2 linked regions of the Astyanax mexicanus genome follow. The protein of the gene in region 2 interacts with the protein of the main gene of each other region in a biochemical or structural test. Links are inferred from orthologs where the notes say so. Each region holds a gene or a part of one and is shown on either strand. Other genes may lie near its edges.

Region 1 (7,103 bases), on a different chromosome or scaffold from region 2:
ACATTATGGTCAGAAAGATTCCAGATTCCAGCCGTGCAATGAATTCTGCACATTTTTTCTGCATAAAAACAAAATTAGGGCGATTATGTCTCTGGGACTCGGTGCAGCCCAACCATCACAATAAGTGAGAAAACATATATGATTATTATTATCTCACATTTTTAGAAAGCAGTGCTGCCAATCATTTGGTTTTATGAAGTTGGGGTCAGAGAAGGGGTGGGCAAATTATATTGAATCCTAAAGAAAAAGGTGCTTTACAATATCTGACCCAACTTGGAGGACTAAAAGTCAAAAACAAAACAAAAAAATATGACCAAAATGAGCCAGATTATTTCGATTAGGGGTTCTAAATGTTGGTCTGACTCATTTTCAAGGCCAGAGTACATGTTTTGGAAAGCATTTGACATTTTATTGCAGCTATTGTGACATCATATCATTAATCAGCCCAATAAAATGTGATTGTTTAACCCATATCTCCTTTGTGTATATATTTAAGTTTGGTCTTAAATATCAGTGTGAAAACTACAAACAGGAACCAAACGTAAAACAAGGTAATGTTTGAATATCACCTTTTATCCAGACCAAGTGATCCAAACGACCTGAATAAAATCAAACTGACTGAAGGACACACACAAACTAGGGTTGATTACATTACTCAAATCGCTGCAGGTCAGTGTAAACAGCAACAACCACAGATGCTGAGTCATAACTGCAGGTCAGCATGTTGGTCATGAATACACAGGAGCTAAAATATTAGTCAACTGCTGCCATCTGTGGCCTGCTGTAACTGTGTGCACCTCTCAACTGACTGTCTGCTTTACTTACCAACACAGTCCTCTTGTTTATTTTCTGCCTGGCACCTCAGACACGCATCTACAAGACAGAAAGACAGACAGACAGGTTTCATTAATATTACACAAGTATTAATAACTATTTTATAAAAACATTTATATCGCTACCCAGCAAAATGCTTCCAAACACATACCACACACACCTACAACAAGAATGACTATATGGTAAGAGGCTCAAGATAGAACTCCTCAGTATGTTCCCATAAGGCAATCATATTGTCCACGGCCACTTTATTAAATCCACCGCCTTGTTCCTTCACCTATTATCCATCCAATCAGCTCCACTTCGCTCTGTTCTACCAATGGTCAAGACCCTACAGAACCACCACAGAGTGGGTGGTGCGTCATTCTCAGCACTGCAGTCACACTGGTATGGTGATGCTGCATCTAGTGTTTAACGGGTCATTATTGCCTGCCACAGTTAACTGCAACCGAACCATAAAAAAACAAGTGTTTTACACTGCAAACTAATTAAACGATAATTTAGCTAATCCACACTGAGAGCAGGTCTTTTGGTTGGCCCAAAACCTGCTATTTTGGTTTGGACCAAACTGAATAGTCAAAGGTCTGCACCAAACATGAAAAGTGTGAAGGCAGCCTTTAACACTCCCAACATGTAGATGGAATAAAGTCAGAAAAAGATGCTTTGAATCTGTTGCTGCCCAGTTTGCAATTTGTGTTAGTGTCTGGTACAAGGGGTACGAGGGGGCCAGACACAGACATAGCAGTGCTGCTGGAGTTTTTAAACACGGTGCGAGTCGCACTGTCCTCTCTATTAGACACCCTAAACAACAGTTGCTCCTACACTTTGTAGATAAAGCAAAGTCAGAAACAGAAACCCTGAATCTGTTGCTGCCAAGTCTGTGCTGTTCATTCTCTAGTCCTACATCAGTGAGCACAGGACACTGCCCACAGGACACTGTTGTCTGGATATTTCATGTTGTTGGTGAACTATCTATTCTCAGTCCAGCAAAAACACTGATGTGTTTAAAAAGGTGTTGTACTCTCTGATATTCTTGTACCAGCACAACACACACCAGCACATCATACACCACCACTATGCCAGTCAGTGTCACTGCAGTGCTGAGATGCTCTGTGGTGGTCCTGACCATTGAATAACAGATTGAATAGATTTCTACATAAAAAGGTTTCATATTCGATAAGGAACATTACTGAAACGCATAATTGTAACAGAAAATATATTTTAAAAAACGTTAATCTGCTAATGTCAAAATATAATGAAAAAAAAAAATCATAAAATTAGCTCTTTCCTGAATTCATTTTAAAATCAATATTTTTCTGAAACCTTTAGTTTTGTTATGTTTGTCTAGTTTTACGTCTATTTTCAAACATACAGAGTCTGGGTTGATTCCTGTTACTGAACTGAAATTATTAAGTGGAGTAGAGAGTGAACAGGCAGCTTCTCCAAGTGACCTGTAGATTTTAAAGCCCTTAAATTTACAGAATGTAAATAAGTAATTTTAATGCAGACAAAAAAGGGTTTGTATCACCTAATGTTACACCTGTAGCCCGTATACGAGACAAGGCCTGTAAACGGATTAATAAACTATCCAGCTTTCAGATACAGACTGCTCTTAACTGTTTAGCTATTTAGCTAGCTAGCTAATATTCTCTGTGAGATAGGATCTTTTGGCAACAGCAGATAGCTGCACATAATCCGCCCACATAAATATAGCTACAGCTAGCTCATCCAGCTCCATCATACCAGAGTCGAAAGGGCTGCCAGCTGGCGGATTCAGCAGGTTAGCATTAATACCGATGTCAGGTGCTGAGCTGGATTAGGTAACGTTGGCTGAGCTCGGGGGGTTGTTCAGTTATTTGGTTAGTTAGCTCTTTAGCTGGTTAGCTGGCTAATTAGCTGGTTAGCCGAGCAGCTAGCCGCCCCACAGCAGCACCTACCCATGACCTGGACCCGGCAGATGGCGCAGGTATCGCACTCCACGTCCCAACTCCACATGGCCACCGCATTCCACTTCTTTAGAGAGAACATCTTGTCCCCAGCTGATCTGGAGCTGGACCCAGAGCCGGACCCGGAGGAGCCGCTGATCGAGTGCACCAAAACCGGCTCGTCTCCGTCATCCATCTCCGCCATGGCAGAAAAGGGCAGCTACAAAATGGCCGACTCCAGCAGAGCGTCCGGCCGCCCCGCTAACGCTAACACTGACCCAGGATCAGCGGCTCAGACCCAGCCCGGCCTGACCAGCACTGCCGCAGAGCACCGGGGCTGATCCCGGATCAGCGAGCAGCGATAAATTACCACAGTGATCCACAGCTAAAGGGGGAAAACAGAGAGAACTACAGCGAGGGGCTGAAATAAACAATTAATGTAGTAATTAACCCCTAACAGCCCAAACACACCTCTCAGCGTTAATTAAATATATAAACATATAAAATTTAGTTTTATTTGTAAGGTAAAAAAAAAAAAACACCAGTGCTTGCACATAAGTCCTAACAAAAGTGATCTAACTGCATAATGTTGCTCTGAGGCAACAACTAAAACACGGTTTTAATAAGTAGTTATAAGAAATTATAATTCAACGAATTAATAAAATAAAATAAAAACAAAACTGAAATATAAGAAAAACATTTAAGAAAAACATTAAATTGGTATCTCATAATGATGATTTACTATATCAAAATAATGATAGTATCTCAAAATAATAAATTAGTATTTCAAAAATTGACTTACTATGTTAAAATAATGAGAGTACCTCAAAATAATGAGATAGTATCTCAAAATAATAAAATAGTAACTCAAAATAATAAGATAGTATTTAAAAAAATTAATAATAATAATTAGTATCTTAAACCAATGAAATATCAGTTTACTTAATAAGAAGAAAAAAATGTAAATATATATATATATATATATATATATATATATATATATATATATATATATATATATATATATATATATATATTATATTATATTTATTTTACGTGAAAATATATTTATATATATTTATTTAATATATTTATTTATGTGAAAATATAAAGAGTAGAAGTAAAAAGATGAGGAAGATGGATGATCACAAGGCATCAAACCAAGCTGAACTCCTTGAATTTCTGCAGCTGGAGTGGCATGAAGTTATCCAAAAGCAGTGTGTAAGACTGGTGAAGGAAAACAAGCCAAGATGTACGGAGCCCGGGAGGGGCCGTGGATAAAAAAAATAATAAAATCGAGTGAACGATGTAGCAGTTCGTGCTCACGTTTTCTTTAATTCGAGTGAACGATTTGCAATTCGTGCTCACGATTTCTTTAATTCGTGCTCACGATTTCTGTAATTCGTGCGCACGATTTCTGTAATTCGAGTGAACGATTTCTGTAAATCGTGCTCACGTTTTTATGCGCAATAAGACAAGAAGCTCGGAGGGAAAGGAGCATTTTCTCTCTTGATCTGTTACAGGGGTGCAGTAATGATAATCAGTTATCTACCTTTATAACCTGCTGTTATTAATGCACTAGTGTTACAGTTAGATGTACAGTACAGTGAGCAGATTTTGCCTGGTGGTGGAATCTCTACAGCGCGTGGGGGAGAGCCGTCCGCGGCATCGGTTCCCCAAGCCGCCAGACACCTGCCGCGCGCGCAGGTCTTCACGGAGCTTATTTACCAACAATGTAGACAAATACAGTCAATTCCAGTCATGAATAAAGGAAACAAACATTTTACTGATGCAGGACAACTGTGTGTTATTAAAACCAGATCAAAACAAAGTTATAATGCAATGTGCAAATGTGTTTATTAATTTCTAAATAACATTCAGCCAGCCTCCAAGGAAATGCACACCTTCTTAAATCTGGTTACATCATTATTACTTTTATGATAGATTTAATCTATATTTTAATAATTTGTATAATAAATAAACACATAATTCAGAAAATATACATTTAAGAAGTTTATAATTATTATATTTTTTTTATTTGAAGCTTGTGGCATGTTTCTGGGCAGGACACTGATTTGAGAATAAGCAGATATTCAGGACATTTCATCAGATATAGAAACTTAATTATTTTAGGAAACATATTGGAATAAATTATCAAATTGATCCAAATTATTATATGAAATGCCTATTTACTAAATATCTTAATACATTGTATTAATAGTATTTTAGACCAGCTATTTTGATTTTATATAGTGTTACATATTTAAAGCAGCTCTTATATGAGCCATTCATAGACAACTGTCACACCTTGCATTAATTTTGTATTATCTTTATTAACTTTTACAGTGTACATTTGGACCTAAGTCTTATAGCTGTATATTTATATAATTATACTTCTTTACGTTATACTATTGTTGAAAATAAGAAATTATAAACAGTTCCACATTGCATTATAACTTTGTTTTGATCTGGTTTTAATAACACACAGTTATCCTGCATTAGTAATGTTTGTTTCCTTTAATCATGACTGGAATTGACTGTATTTGTCTACATTGTTGGTAAATAAGCTCCGTGAAGACCTGCGCGCGCGGCAGGTGTCTGGCGGCGGGGGAACCGATGCCGCGGACGGCTCTCCCCCACGCGCTGTAGAGATTCCACCACCAGGCAAAATCTGCTCACTGTACTGTACATCTAACTGTAACACTAGTGCATTAATAACAGCAGGTTATAAAGGTAGATAACTGATTATCATTACTGCACCCCTGTAACAGATCAAGAGAGAAAATGCTCCTTTCCCTCCGAGCTTCTTGTCTTATTGCGCATAAAAACGTGAGCACGAATTACAGAAATCGTTCACTCGAATTACAGAAATCGTGCGCACGAATTACAGAAATCGTGAGCACGAATTAAAGAAATCGTGAGCACGAATTGCAAATCGTTCACTCGAATTAAAGAAAACGTGAGCACGAACTGCTACATCGTTCACTCGATTTAATTGTTTTTTTTATCCACGGCCCCTCCCGGGCTCCGTAAAGATGCATGAAAACTGTGAATAAAAATCAGGGTTATTCCACCAAATACTAATTTCTGAACTTTTATTTGGAATTTGGGAGAAATGTTGTCCGTTGTTTATAGAATAAAACAACAATGTTAATTTTACTCAAACATAAACCTATAAATCCTATGAATAGCAAAATCCAAGAAAATGGTTTAGTAACTGAAGTGGTCTCTTATTAAAAAAAACTGAATTTCGAGATCGTCGTCAAAATGCCAACGTTTTTTCAATGTCAGCTCCACGTTGGTTTGTAGGTTGTGCCCAAACTAGGGTTCAAGTCGCTACCCAGTGTAAGGTGTAGCGTTCTGTACACACCTATCCACATCTACCCAAACAAATGCGCGCACCAGTTTTGGAGCACGACTGGACCGTGGCTGCTGTGTGTGTGTGTGTGTGTGTGTGTGTTTGTGTTCTGTGCCCTATGTGTCTGTCTGTGGGTTTTTGTTTGTTTCCCGTGAACGCGCGAGCGCACGCACAATTGCCATGTTCCAGCCATGCTCCAATATTCGTGTGTGAGAATTTGGGCTGTTTGGTAATAAGCTAAAGACCAACGTGGAGCTGACGTTGGTAAAACGTTGGCATTTTGACGCCGATCTCCGCTCCTTTATCCAGCTCCTTTATCCAGCGTTCTAAAAAATACTGCCAACAACAGACCAACGTTGGTCTGACTTCGAATTTCGACGTGCGACATAGACAACATTTGGCAGCATACTGTTGCTATCTGGGCCCGGGGGGCGGGGTGGGGGAGTTTCAGCAGCGCCTCCATCGGGTTGGCTGTGCTCTGCTCCGGCGCTCAGAGCTGCTGGAGGAGCGGACCCGACTCAGTCATGAAAACAGCGGCTTTAATAACAGCGACCGCCTGCCTGGCGGTTCTTTACTGCGTCTGCGCTTCTCCTATTTTAACTGAGGAAGGTAGGAGTCCAGTTATCAACTTTAAATCAAGAGAGAGGCCAGTTTAACAACATACAGACTTTAGTTTCGTTTCTGCTTTTGTTTTCTTCTCTTCTACAGACCCTGCTAAAAATACAGCTCAAGAACCAGACAAAACACATATACCATATAGTTAACCTAACGAGCTAGTCTAACAGCATAGTATTTATATATTTATATTTTCTAGATGACAGCTGGTCTGAGCTGGATATTTAACAAGAGAGTCAGGTCCAGTGAAAAACTTTTATTATTTAATGCAGTGTAACGTTGTATAATAAACATGCAGTCTCTGTTTGTCCTGCAGATGAGTTTGCCTTCAAAACCTGGATGTCTGAGGTAAAAAAAAAATCCCTCTCAGT
Region 2 (7,312 bases):
TGAAGTGCTGTAAGATTTTGTGAGAAAACAAAACTGCACTGACTTTAGACTTGATAATAAAACACAGTGGATCAACACCAGCAGATGACATGTCTCTCCAAACCATCACTGATTGGTGGAAACTTCACACTAGACCTCGAGCAGTTTGGACTGTGTGTCTCTCCACTCTTCCTCCAGACTCTGCTCCCTTGATTTATAAATGAAATGTAAAATTTACTGATGATCAGTGATGGTTTGTTTGGAGACACATGTCATCTGCTGGTGTTGATCCACTGTGTTTTATTATCAAGTCTAAAGTCAGTGCAGTTTTGTTTTCCCACAAAATCTTACAGCACTTTTATGGAGATGTGGATTTCATTTTCCAGCAGGACTTGGCACACTGCCCACATTGCCAAAAGTACCGGTTGGTTTTGTATTATATTCTAATTTTCTGAGACAATAACAATACAATAATCAGACTGATTTTTGGGTTTTTATTGGCTGAAAGCCATAATCAACAATAAAATAAATAAACATTTAAAATAGATCACTCTGGGTGTAATACATCTATAAAGTATTGTATATGAGTTTCGCATTTTGAACTGAATTACTGAGATAAAGTAACTTTTCAATGATATTCTATTTTTTTTAAGATGCACATTGTTGCTGTCATACATTCCTAATGATTCAATTCTTACTAATTGTTTCAAATTGTAATGATCAATAGACTGAAGATATAGACTGCATTATATAATTTTGCATTTCATTGTTATTATTCAAAATAAAATAAAAAAACAATATATTGAGTATACACCAAGTATTCACATATGCATGTCACAGTAATTAATGATATTGACAAATGGGTTTTTATTTTAGGGCTTTAGGAATGGGTGGCACCAGAGGAAGGATCTATATTAAACATGCAGACCTCTTTAAGGTATTTTGGCTCTCTTTGCTTTGTGGCCCAGTTGCTTCTTCACTGTTTATTTTAGTGACTGTTTTAAATGTGTGTGTGTGTGTTTCAGTATGCTGCTGATGCTCAGGACAAACACTGGCTTGCAGAGCGACAGCATATGAGAGCCACAGGTGGAAAGATGGTAGGTCATAAAACATTGATATAGTTGTTATATGATATCATCAGAAATTAAGACATATATTGTGTTACCTAAGTATTTAAAGCTATCTGCTCGCCTACATGAAGTTTGGAGGTGTGTAGTGATGAACTCTGAAGCTACATGAAGTTTGGAGGTGTGTAGTGATGAACTCTGAAGCTACATGAAGTTTGGAGGTGTGTAGTGATGTAGTGACTGTTATTTAACACTGAAGCACAGAGTCGCTGCCGTTCTCAGTCTCTTTCACTGTGTTATAATAATATCACTGACAGTTGGCTGTGGAGTATTTAGTAGTGAGTAGTGAAATTTCACTACTGGACTTGGTACACAGGTTCTGCATCCTATCATGGCACCACAGTGCTGGAGTTTACTGAGCTCCTGAGAGCCTGAGACCCATTCTTTCACTAATGTTTGTAGAAGCAGTCCCAGCATTCCTAGCTGCTGCTTTTATTATTATACACCTGTGATCATGGATGTGACTGGATTATTCATTATTTTTCAATACATCATGATAATAATAAAATAATACATTTTAAATAACAATTATATCAGTTTCTGTGATTTGCATTTTTCAGGCGTATCTTCTTATTGAAGAGGACATCAAAGAGCTTGCATCAAGTGATGAATACAAGTAAGTAACGTTAATTATCAGCACCAGTCTGGTTTCATGATTAAACTGACTAAATTACAGATACAGCTTTTTAGTTCTGAAGTACAGTAGTGAAGTAAAAATAATACTCCAGTAGATACAGATACAAGTACATAAGTACAGTATTTACATATTTACATTTTACTAATATAAAGTATAAAAATGTATATTAAACCATATCTAAATATCACTTACAGAGTAAATGTTTGTAGCCAATTTCGACTCACAAGTATAATAGGAGCTTGGTCTTCCTGAACTACACTTAAAGTGTGGAAATATGCAGAGACAATAAGACTGTAATCATATCTAATCTTCTCCTGAATTATTAGAGACTGCCCTGAGTTAAAGCTGGAGGAACTGAAGCCGTTTGCTGTGCCTCCGTGGATGTTGGAGAAGATGCAAAAGGCAATGGAGGCTCAGAGATCTGAGAAGGATGTTTAAGAGACATATTTCTTACTGTCATAAAACAGATAATGAACCTTCTAAACCCCAATAAACATGACTGGACCACACATAGTTTGGTATCCCAGAGAACCACAACATAGATTGCATTATTTTTAGTTTTCGTTCTTGTTGTTGACTTGCCTTATAGTCAAGCTTAGAAATTAGTTGTTTACCTTCATGCTGGAGAAGTGCAAACCAACATATTTTTACTGATTTTATTTTGATAAACCAGTATTTATAGAGATTGTTAGGCTCTGCTTTGTCTTTTTATTATTTTCTTTTTTTTTTAATCGGCAGAATGAGTTTTTCTTATGTAATTTTCTTTTTCTTTTTTTAATTCAGAAATTATCTTGTGATTTGGTTTTTACTTGAACTGCTTGTCTTTGTTCTGGCTGACATTTATTTTATGTTACATATGTAAAAAAAAAAATTGAGTTTTATTAAAAATAATTTTTCTTCATGTGTAATTCAAAGAAATATTCTAGCCTCGCCTATATTTTAGGAAACTGCATGCGGTTCACATGTCTTTTTTAATGCATTGTTTTACAGTAGGCAAAATATAAACTACTGTATCTTATTGTTACTTATTTTGTCTAAAAAATAAAAAAGAGAAATAAATAAAGCTGTTACAGTTATCATGAAAATAACATGTATTTTATTAGTTTCTCACCAAGAAATAAACCTGCATTGAAAAGAGGAATCCACCATCCTCTGGTCATTACTGAATACAACAGATAACAGACAAAAAAGTATTAAAACCTGCAAATGGCTTAGAATCAAACATGTTAGCTCTTAATATTGTCTTGCGTAGTTAATAGAGGTCATAGTTAAACTGACATATTGTATCTATGAAGATTAAATAACGTGGGATCACGTTATGCTAATGTTTCAATATTCCCTGCAATTTATACCAATTTTTAGGGACTGATTGTTTGCCAGAAGTACCGGGGACAATTCCCAGTGGCCTGTATGTGGGCTGCTATAATAGTTCAAACAAAACATGATTAATGTATTATCTAGTATTGAATTGTGCATTGGCCCTCATAACCCAGGGGCATGACAATTCGCAGGGTTTCCCCACAGGGCTTTATAGTTAGGCCAGTCGCCTTGACAAGAATTGCCCCCGCTTTGACAACTTCCCCTCAGCATCGCAATGAGGCCAAATAGTGCCATTTGTTGGTTAATGATGACACGACTCTATAAACCATCACCGACCATCATTTTGGCTTTTCTTTTGGAAATCAAGGGTCCAAAGTCTAGAGGAAGAGTGGAGAGACACACAGTTCAAACTGCTTGAGGTCTAGTGTGAAGTTTCCACCAATCAGTGATGGTTTGGAGAGACATGTCTCCCTCTGCTGACAACTATTACGGAGATGTGGATTTCATTTTCCAGCAAGATTTGGCACACTGTTCACACTGCCAAAAGAACCATTTGGTCTACTTTTCTGAGATACTGGTTTTTGAGTTTTCATTAGCTGTAGGCCATAATCAATAACAATAAAAGAAATAAGTGCTTAACTTTTCTCAAAATGAAGACATCACTTTAGTTTCTGAACCAGTTTCTCTGATTTTGCTATTTATAGGTATATATTTGAGTAAAATGAACATAATAGTGAACAATAGTGAAATAACAAAAAAGACACAGAACTGTCAGACCTCAGATAATGCAAAGAAAACAAGTTTATATTAATAAAGTTTTAAGAATTCAAAAATCAATATTTGGTGGAATAACCCTGCTTTTTATTTCACAGTTTTCATGTATCTTGGCTTGGTTTCCTCCACCAGTCTTACACACTACTTTTGAATAAAAGTTCAAGCAGTTCAGGTTGGTTTGATGGCTTGTGATCATCCATCTTCCTCTTGACTATATTCAAGAGATTTACAATTTAGTAAAATATTTTTTTCCCCTTTATTTATATATAAATGCTGTGGAGATAGGAAGAGGGTAGGTTGTCCATATAAACTAGCTCTGTCTGTACTGCATTCAACGGTCGCGAGCCACGCCCCATGCCGGCGCGACGTCCAATCAAATCGAAGAAAATCGTGAAGCGCGTTTTTCAATGGTTGCTAGGACAGACTTTTGTTTTGAGCGCTGGCTCCTGATTGGCTGAGCGGCTGGGCGGAGCGCCGGAGCGGTTGGGTGAGAGTCAGTTTAAACAGGGGGGCGGGATAAAGATTTAAAAATCTCACTGTGGAGTTTTACTGACTGTTAGAGACGGGACTGGACGCAGCCGGTAATAACTAGCCTAAATACGCACTGAATTTTACTATTTTGTGGCTTTTATTGTGAAATAATAATGAAGCTTGATTTGTATATCGATAGGTTATCGATTTAACAATTAATTTGAGCGATTTGGTTGGATATAGAGTGTGGGATGGCTTTAAATTTGCTGTGTTTTAGGAAGCTAACTTAGCTAGCCTAGCTTAGCTAGCGTTAACTAACTACAACTGCTCTTTTAGCTAGCGTTAGATTAATATATCATGCTTTAAACATGTTAACCTAAGACTTAAGTATCTATAGTAAACCTAGTTAACAAGTTTGTTGGATGTTAGTAACGTTAACGCTATTTATTTCGTTATGTTTTGGACGTGTGCTGCGTTTAGCTGTGCTAAGCTAGCGGTTTCTAACATAGCAACGGTTTGGTCGCACTGCAGTGTTTTAATGGCGTTGCTTTGCTTGTGTGGCTAATAAGCTATTTAACTGAAATGTCACGATTTAGCTAATCATTTTAAACGTTTGGTTGAGGCTAAAAATGGTTAGATTTTAGATTAAATACGTATTGTTAACGGTAACTCTATCTAACCCAGGGCTCTGGCTTGTCCTGAGCTAGATTAGGTTAACGTTAATTCAACTTGAGTTTAAAAAAAGGGAGAAGCTAAAGAAATGATGATATTCTTACGTAGGGTGGGTTAGTTAGGTTAAAATATTAGCCATGTATGTTTAATAGATAATAAAAACGAACATGTAAAAGATCTGCACTATGTAAGTTAATGTTATCTCTCTCTCTCTTTTCATTGTGATGTGCTTAGTAGCTGGCTAACCTAGTTTAAGAGGTGTAACATATGTAATAATCTGTTATAATGGATATTGTTAATGTTATGAACACACTGCTGAATGACACTCAATCCATAACCAAGTCATGTCGATTCTCAGGTTTTAAGCAATGGCCTCCCAAAATCTGGATCCTGCGGCAGCCTCCTCCACAGCTGCTCTGAAAGGAAATGAATCTGGCGGAAATGTTCCCAAAGGCTCAGTTTCAAAAAGGTACGCAGTGACTTTCCGTCCTCACTTCCAGAACCAGTGGTGATGCACTGATGGCAATTCTAGGCCGATACTGGTTTTACAGGAACACGCACGTTTTGTTTTATTGTTTTATTTGAATCCTCATTAGCTGCTATCACCATAACAGCTATTCATCTTGAGGTCAACTGCACATGGCATATTCTGCAGAATCTGTGTCTTTTCTGGACCCAGGAAATTAACATTACATGTATAAATGTGCACATAGTAATACATTTCATTAAAAATCATAGTGTCTTGTACATTAACCTAATCACAACAGTTAGTTGTGTAATCTTTTTTGGAAAACTGAAAAAATATATAATTTGTTACCTGTCCCTACTCTGTAACTATAAACTTTAACTATGAAGTATAATTATTAAAATCCTTCAAAATCCCTTACGTGTTTTGCATTGTTGTGAGACTCCAAATCCCATCTATGCTTAAAAAAATATTTCTATAGTTTTGTGTTAAAATACAAATTTTAGTGCCATTTTCAACATCTATCACTTGCGTAGAGGTTACACATGCTGGCCTAACTTTAGAAACAAATGTAATGTTTATTTGCCTTACAGTTTAGCTTTGAACCAACTGTATGCAAACAAAAAAAATAAAAGATTTCTCCTAAAACGTTTCCAACATTTTTGCTAACTGGTTCTTACATTTTCATAAAAAGTTGAATTCTCTTTAAAACTAGTATCATAACTTGATAGTCATGGTAGAAGTTGACAGATAATTATCATGACTTTCATCGCATTACAAGTCCATGGGGGCGTAATAGTATGCAATGCAACAGTAAAGATTTATTTTTATTAATTGTATGTGTCCATTCTTATTTGTTCATTTTGAAATTTTAAAGCTTCAACTTCTAGTCCCTTAATTTTAGATGCTTTGAGTTCTGATACTACTAGTATACACTACACAGAAATATGCTATTACTATATGCTGAATAGAGTTTTAAAAAGAAAAAAGGGGCCTGTTTATGTATATAAATATGTAGCATAGGTCAATAGCTAAGCTCCACATCCTGTTCAGTGCACAGTATCGTGTTGGATACGCACAGATGCACATTTTGCAAACTGCACTTTATACCTCCAATTTGCCTTCTTGCCACATCCTTGTCCTGAATTGCATGTAAAGCTGTGCACTGAGTTTTTAAACCTTTAAGAAATATATATTTATTTTTGTCTTTCATTATTTTTTCCAACACCATGTACTGATAATCTTGATTTACTTCATAATAAATACCTACACATTACTGATTGCTGTTTTTGGTCTCTGTATGTTTCTAGACTTCAAAATGAGCTGATGACTTTAATGGTGAGTGTTACATTTTTACATTTTTACATTTTTTCATAGTAACATTTTTACTCTTTAATGCTTGAGTATACATTAGGGCTGGGCAATATAAAATTGTAGCATAACGTGAGAAATGTGGTGGTGTAATCAGTAGGGGTGTGCCATATCGTATCACACACACACTTTCACACAAAAAAAAAACAATGACACAAATAAAAAAGATAAATACATTTAAAAAATCTGTGTTTTTCAAATAGCCAAGAACATTGTAATTGAAAAAGTACCATGAAATATTGTGGTGGTTTTTATTAGCATATCGCCCACCCCTAGTAATCTGTGATGCACATCTGTGTAACTGGTGTATTTCTTCATTGCTTAAAAGCACACAGACCTACAGCATGTTTTGAAGTCCTGTTAAATTGAAAGAAATTCATCACATTGTGGATGACATTTCTATTTAATTAACTCAATCTGCCACTATACATTTTGTCCTGTAATACTAAGTACTGAAAAAATGTATTTAAGTATTGTATTTCTTATTATTTTTAT

Evidence for each region. The genes of interacting proteins can lie anywhere in the genome.
Region 1: the proteins of ube2c (region 2) and rnf7 form a complex in vitro, tested with the Homo sapiens proteins (4 studies listed by BioGRID). The link is inferred for Astyanax mexicanus from reciprocal best matches to the Homo sapiens genes UBE2C and RNF7.

Annotation. Positions count from the first base shown.
Region 1 is NC_064416.1:32,163,526-32,170,628, forward strand, and holds the start of rnf7 (RING-box protein 2), read right to left. Parts: upstream 3,024-7,103; 5' UTR 2,965-3,023; coding exon 2,772-2,964; intron 874-2,771; coding exon 826-873; intron 1-825. Other genes in the region: pro-cathepsin H, read left to right, coding at 6,642-6,726, 7,049-7,080. UniProt on the Homo sapiens protein: Catalytic component of multiple cullin-5-RING E3 ubiquitin-protein ligase complexes (ECS complexes), which mediate the ubiquitination and subsequent proteasomal degradation of target proteins.
Region 2 is NC_064412.1:6,312,947-6,320,258, reverse strand, and holds the start of ube2c (ubiquitin-conjugating enzyme E2 C), read left to right. Parts: upstream 1-4,289; 5' UTR 4,290-4,418; intron 4,419-5,338; 5' UTR 5,339-5,348; coding exon 5,349-5,449; intron 5,450-6,756; coding exon 6,757-6,784; intron 6,785-7,312. Other genes in the region: deoxynucleotidyltransferase terminal-interacting protein 1, read left to right, coding at 856-916, 1,005-1,076, 1,667-1,722, 2,070-2,181. UniProt on the Homo sapiens protein: Accepts ubiquitin from the E1 complex and catalyzes its covalent attachment to other proteins. In vitro catalyzes 'Lys-11'- and 'Lys-48'-linked polyubiquitination.